Daphnia pulex: one gene and its partner. The protein of the gene in region 2 interacts with the protein of the main gene of each other region in a biochemical or structural test. Links are inferred from orthologs where the notes say so. Each region holds a gene or a part of one and is shown on either strand. Other genes may lie near its edges.

Region 1 (2,369 bases), on a different chromosome or scaffold from region 2:
AATTAACAGTTAGTAGACAAAAGAAAGCTCACCTCATTTTGCGACGTCATTCTCTGCTCCAACAGATACTTTATCAGGGCTGTGAAGAGAGGATGCAAGACTATTTATACACTCGGTCCCCCCCAAAGGCCGAAACCACGCCGTCGGTCAAACCCTAATTCATGGAAAGCGGATTGCGGAGCACGTTGCCAAACGAATTCGAAAATATCGCTTGAGCGCGCGTTCATTTTTTTTTTATTATTACCATTTTATTTGTTATTACCTGGTTATAACCAGTTGCAACTAGATAATTCTCAAAAACTGTAATTTCTATCCTCCTTTCGTTGTTCTTATTACACATTCTTAGATTTTTAACTTCGTTTTCTGAAGCCTCCCAGAATCCCCGCACCGGCGGATATGGCGCTGTCCGACAGAGCCACTTATTTTATGTTCGTTGAGACCATACGCATTTCCCACGCTTTAGTCAATTTTAACGTTTGAAATATACAGTTATTCATCAATATTTATTTGTCTCTTAATATGAACAAATCTTCCCACGGAATTGGAATCCTTCACTGATTGATTTACATCACAAACGAATTTCAGATTTAAGGTGTATTGGGTCACGAAATCGTACATTAATCGAATTGGTAAATACCATGAGAAATTTTAAAAGAAAGGGAGCAGGAATGGCTCATTTTAAGAATCATTTTAATAATGTTCGTTCCGTCGGTCAGAAATTTGTTTTACGATTTTATTAGCGAGATTGACACTTCAAGTTCTCTTTTTCTTTCCTCGTCCTTTTGTTTCCGGTGTACCAACCGCTGATTCGCTCTTGCGTTTGGAGCCCTTCGTAGGCGTTGCTTCACTTTTGGCTCCATCGTCCTCTAATTTCGGAGTTGCTTCAACTTTAGATCCAATGCTGGTCTTCGGACCACGCTTCTTCTTGTCTACCTTCTCCTTTTCCTCCCACTCTTGAACTTCTCTTTCTATTAAGGTAATTAGAGTATTGCATCGCCTCTGCAACTCCATAGCTGTGCGCGATTTAAGGAACCAATCGAAGCGGAACTGTGGAGCAGATCTGTGGGCAAAGAGAAAGAAAGTTGAAGGTGACTAATTTATTTAATTTATAGCAAAACGTCTAATCATACCTAACAGCGGCTCGCAGCTCTTCGTACACGTTCTCTTTGTCAAACCCTAGACGGTGCAGCATACAAACCAAAAAGCGATCTTCTTCTTCAGTGTAATTTTTGCCTTTATTGGTTCCGTAAGCAATGCGCAACTGATGGAAGGGTGCTCGATACTTTGACATCTGGAAGAAATTAAAAATCAGTATTCGCAACATTTTTATACTTCTCACAGATTAGTTTACCTTAGTATCGAGAGCTTTCTTGATCGACGTCCGGCGTTGGATTTTGGCTTCGCCTCGCTCAATTTGAGCCATGATTCGATCAATGTCCTGCAGCTCATGGCATCGCTCCCAGAAAATTGCACTGTATTCCATCACTTCTTCTGGGGTTTTACCTGATAATCCAAATTGAAAAGTGTTAAGTAAGTGTTTTAACTCTTAAGCTTTCTTAAATACACACCTTCAACTTCTTTTGTCATATATTCAACATCATCTCGGCCATATTTCTCATTTGCTTTAATAAACTGGTTGAAGTCCCGCTTCGTCCACGATATAAAACCCTGAGTTAAAAGACTTTCCTTCTCCGCCTGCTCCTCGTCCGTTAGTTGCTCGGCTTCATCAATTTTCCTTTGTTCCTCTCGTTGGACTTTGGCAGCTTCAGCTCCCAGCTCAGGGTTACGCGGAACCTTGTAGCCGACCGTTTTACGGTAATGATAAATCTCTTGATCAAGCAACTCAAATAGCCGTGGCGGGAAAAACTGGAAGTCTTGCACGATGGGTTGTTTAGGTGGTCGAGGTGCCTAAGTAAATCAAAGAAGTGATTCAGATGGAACGGATGCAACAAATATTAGGGCCTTACCTTGGGAGCTTTGGGTTCTGTAACTCGAAGAGCTTCCCTAAAATATGCATCTACGGCATAGTTGGCCTTGCGCTCACGTTTAGGCGGTTCAATCCAGGCACCAACAATCGACTTTTGTTTCTCTCTATGTAACAAAAAAGTTTCAATGTAAGCATGTTCCATGATTACAAAGCTAGATGTGGTATTACCGATAGTCTTCGCCTTCGAACTGGTAGACGGACTCTGTTGGGGCGTCCAAAGTGAAATTACGGAGCGATGATTCTCCGAGTTTCTCGAGACGTTCAGCAACTTCTTGTGTCTGAAAAATAACAATACAAGATGCAAATTACTCAAAAAAATCGATCCATCTTTATATAAGGCAAACTTACTCTGTTTTCGCTTTTGGCTAAAATAGATTCAATG
Region 2 (4,629 bases):
CAGAAGTCGAAGGCGGATTAACTTACCAGGTAGGTGACTCGCATACTATTTCATTTGATGGCTTTAACCTATAAGTTTTTATAATATACATATTTTTATTTGAAGGGTACTCCTCTTAAGAAGCTGTCTATGGATTCCTTAACCGTATCAGAAATATTACGACTTCACTTAATATCGTCTGGTGGCGGTAGTAGTGAACTTCGTACAAAGTGGCGGTATCAACAAAGAGGTGGATATAGTGCTGCTGATGATCCTGGTGTTCAGTTGCGTCAGGAAGATCCTCATATTCTACATGCCTTGTCTCACAGCACGGTATACGAATTGCCCGTCGGTGATAAAATGAAAGTTATCAAATGCCTTTGTCATCAAATACTCACATATGCATCAATAAGAGACATACTCGAAGAAAAGAGTACTAAATTAATCCATTTACGTCAAGAACTGAAAGCTCTGCATGCCAATGAGAGACGTATGAGAAAAGAAGATATCATTAATCGAGCCAAATTACGCTCTGAAGAGAACGGTAACACCGAAGATGGAACAGAGTTAGAAAGGTTGCTACAAGAAACTGCCAAAAGAAAAGGGGAGGTTCTCAAGAAGGAGCAGCAACTTCGCCAACAAATTCTCAGGATGACAGCCATGACTCATTTGGCACCTCTTGGACAAGATCGTGCTTTCAGGTATTTAGTGCATTGGTGTGGAATGAGACTAATCAAATCAAAAAACTAAATATTCATTTCTTTTTTAGGAGGTTTTGGGTTTTTGAATCACTTCCCGGGTTGTTTGTGGAACATGATGATGACTACGTTGGGACTTGTTTACCCGAACCCACGCCCTATTCCATGCCAAAACCAAACGGATTGCCGATTGATCCCAGCAAATGCAAAGAAGACATTAGGAAATTTTTTAAAGCAGCGAATAAAGAAAATGATATCTCAACCGAACCTGTCTGCGAAAAGTGAGTATTGCATTTCATTTTACATTTTATATTATTACGTATAATCATTTTAACAGTTCTTTGAAAATTAGGCCCAAAATTTTTGGTGTTTGCACTTCTAATCCGACGAACTGCCCTGTCCACGCCACCTACCTTTCACGAACAAAATGGTCATTCTATGAAAATGTCGATTTCGTTGATCAAATCCTACTGAGCCTTAATGAACGAGGGCAACGTGAAAGTGTATTGAAGAATGCAATGGTTCGAGAAAAGGAAAGAATCGTAGAAGGAATCACAAAGTGCTTTGTCCACCGTTTGGATAATTCAAGGCCTGAAGTTAAACTCGAAGGTGAAACTCGCAAATCCACCAGACAAATACGAAAGGAGAAAGAATACGATATCAACCTTTACTTTCCTGCCGGTACTCCCGTCGAGGAGATCATGGAGCGAACACTAGTTGATATGGTTCTTGAGACTGAAGAGAAAATTTTTGTTGGCGGCTTGGGATCCTTGAAGGTACAGTAGATTAAATGATTAATTTACATCAATAACATCTTTGTGTGTTTAAAAACAAATCCAATTTCATCTACATATAAATATTTTACTAGGTCAAAGACCGAAACGCATGGAGAACGTCTTTAGAAGAAAGGAAGTTTGTTTCGCAGGTTGAAACTCTAACTTGGGGTGGAAAACTGGAAACGAAGACACACCCAAAGCTTGAACACAATGATGCCGAGGATGAAGATAACCGCTCCGAAACAAGCTCTTCGGTGGAAGCAGAAACCACTGCTAATGCCGTTGCCAGAAAGTGCGTTGTGGATCTAGCATGTTCCTTACTTCAGTTAGCTCAAAGTGTCGAAACCAAGTATCTGAAGAAACCTCTAGGTAAGTCAGTATTTTATTAGCTGGATTTGGTTTGATTGAGATTTACTTAGTAGTCGAAGTGATTAATTTAAAAATTATTTTCAGGAGAAGATGAGAAAGAAAGAAAAAAACGACTAAAAGCCGAAGAAGCGATGAAAAAATGGGAAGACCACAAGGAGCCGGATCACAAGACGGATGCCAAAAGTAAGATAACGTCTTATGACATGTCATAACAAAAATAGCTGATTTTAATACTATTTCTAGCGGAACCGAAAACAGTACGAACGCCGTTAGAAAAATGGGAGTTGTCTCTACATGCATGCACGAGTTTGTCACAGTTGTACGTTCACTTAGCGCTATTAGGTGAGTTAGATATATATTTACGTATTTATGTGCAATATATATTCTACTAAATGCTTTGAATATTTAAAGATAACAGTATTACATGGAATCGCTCAGCGTTGAATGCTCGATGCCGTATTTGTCGTCGTAAAGGAGATCCGGAAAAGATGTTGCTCTGCGATGGATGTGATAAAGGACACCACATGTATTGCTTGAAACCTTTGCTCACCGTTGTACCAGAAGGAGATTGGTAAATTTAATAAGCGTTAACATGTTCGTTGAACTCATTTCAAATAACCTTATTATTATTCAAGGTTCTGTGCCGAGTGCAAACCCCGTGAAAAGCCTCGAACGCCTCGTAAAGCACGTCGCGTCTTTTCTGAAGAATCCGAGGACGAGGCTGTTGAAGAAGAAGAAGCGGATGCTGGCGAAGAGGAAGCCGAAGTTGAAGCGGAGGAGGGTGAAAGTGATGTAGAATCAGTAGATAATGAAATCTGCCCAGTTTGCCAAGAAGGTGGAGAGGTTATTTGCTGTGACACATGCCCAGCCGTCTATCACTTAGAATGCATCAACCCGCCTCTGAGAAAGGTCCCAAGAGGCAAATGGTCTTGTCCGCAGTGCAAGACACCTCCCCAGGATAGAGAAAGAGGCAAACTACGAGAAAAAAGTAGAAACTATTTCATGTGCTCTTCAATGTTAAGCTGTTACTATAATTTTTCTCTGTTGATCAGATTCTGACGGTCGGACCGGTTCTGCCCGAATCTCACGAACCCGTCATGCGATCGATTTTGATGAAGAAGTGAAGGATATGGGGAGGCATGCTGGTGCGCGTAAGCGTACGCAAACCGAGCCTGTACGATCCAAGTCACCCGCTGACTTGGCCCTAGGCAAACGCCGTTCGGCAGCAGAAGCTGTTGACAAAATTGCTCAATCCTCCAAGCGACTCAGAGGGGACAGCAACGATGGTAAGAGATTTCTTTACCGCAAGTAAACGCCTATTTAAATCAAATAACGAACACTACTACCGCGTTTCACGCTTCCTCCTACCGTGCACAACGACTACTTTTACTTCATCTTACCTTGCACAACGACTACTTTTTCTTTATATCAGTTCCCCCCCACTACCCCAGGTTGTTCCGCTCATCATCTTAACCTCTCGGCCTTGACTTTGACACTGCCTTGTGACGTACTTTTTTGTTTCATTTTTTGGAAGATGTCAGTTGTGAAGCCTCGCCGCTTCCTGCTATTTTTCGTAATAAAAGGATCAACCACTTTTACCTGACTGATTTATTTTTTCCTTCGTACAAAAACAATGGACTTGCGATGTCATTATAGGTTTCCCTTGACGACAAAGTAAACTTAGGTGTCTGTTCACGTCTAGTTAAAAACTGCTCGAAATGAAATTTAGTTCGGAACCCAGCTTTAATTTCAAGTAGATTCAATCTAATCAAGACACTAGATTTGCCGCACAAATTTCCTTATTCATAGCTTATTACCAAATCCCATCCTACAAATATTGTTACGACTGAATGTTTTGACGCCTGGTTACAAATCTTAAATTGTTCATTTCTATTTAGACGAAAGCGGTAATAGTGACAACAACAGCAAGTGGAATGCAGCAGCACATCGGAAAAGGAGTCGTCCATTGCCATTGCCTTCCGCAACTTCTCCTTCCGGGTTTGTTGACTTGGCTGATTTACTACAGCTATTGGCCGATTTGAGCAGTCATGTCGATAGTTGGCCTTTCCTCAAACCCGTCACCAGAGCAGAGGTAAAATATTGATAAGATTTATAGCCGTTTTATAGTTCACGCCAAGAGTTTGCCCTATCGTATTTCTCGTAACGTGACTTTTTCTGAGATCATTGTGACTGTAACTTGAAACAAATGAAACCGTTTCAAAGAATTCATAATTACGTATCATTTTCCCTATTCGTTAATTTGAAAATATTCCAGTAATTTGATTTGTGTGTAATTTTTCTCAGGCTCCGGACTATCATCATGTTATTAAACAAGCTATGGATCTTGGTACAATGAAGTACAAACTCAACAGTATAAAGTACAAGACGGCGGAAGATTTCGTCAAGGATTTGCAGTTGATATTCACGAACTGCTATACTTACAATAACGACGCTGCCGATGAATACAAGTAAGTTAATATTTCTTTTGATCAGCAGTTTTTAAATTGTTGGCTTTTACAAATGTGTTTGTCTGTACCAGATGTGGTCGCAACCTGAGTCGATACGCTGAGAAGCAGTTAGAAAAACTAGGTATCAAGATGATGCCAACGGATTAACATTTGAACCAATTTTCCTACAAATCCAACTCTCCCTACCACCCCCTAAAAAGTCATTCATTCGACAACCCCGATGGAAATATTGGATAAAACCGTGTCTCTTTTATGTTAAAATTCTGGCGACCGTCAATGGGTTGTCGATTGCGTTTCCAATTAAAACAGTAAGAAGTTCGGAAATTTGAATAACAGTGA

What was found.
Region 1: the proteins of bromodomain adjacent to zinc finger domain protein 1A-like (region 2) and chromatin-remodeling complex ATPase chain Iswi-like form a complex in vitro, tested with the Drosophila melanogaster proteins (3 studies listed by BioGRID). The link is inferred for Daphnia pulex from reciprocal best matches to the Drosophila melanogaster genes Acf and Iswi.

What each region holds. Positions count from the first base shown.
Region 1 is NC_060024.1:13,563,572-13,565,940, reverse strand, and holds the end of chromatin-remodeling complex ATPase chain Iswi-like, read right to left. Parts: coding exon 2,336-2,369; intron 2,266-2,335; coding exon 2,156-2,265; intron 2,092-2,155; coding exon 1,968-2,091; intron 1,909-1,967; coding exon 1,569-1,908; intron 1,504-1,568; coding exon 1,352-1,503; intron 1,292-1,351; coding exon 1,131-1,291; intron 1,061-1,130; coding exon 754-1,060; 3' UTR 580-753; downstream 1-579.
Region 2 is NC_060028.1:6,186,248-6,190,876, reverse strand, and holds part of bromodomain adjacent to zinc finger domain protein 1A-like, read left to right. Parts: coding exon 1-29; intron 30-105; coding exon 106-680; intron 681-748; coding exon 749-958; intron 959-1,014; coding exon 1,015-1,453; intron 1,454-1,545; coding exon 1,546-1,822; intron 1,823-1,906; coding exon 1,907-2,005; intron 2,006-2,065; coding exon 2,066-2,164; intron 2,165-2,233; coding exon 2,234-2,393; intron 2,394-2,457; coding exon 2,458-2,810; intron 2,811-2,874; coding exon 2,875-3,108; intron 3,109-3,720; coding exon 3,721-3,914; intron 3,915-4,126; coding exon 4,127-4,290; intron 4,291-4,361; coding exon 4,362-4,437; 3' UTR 4,438-4,629.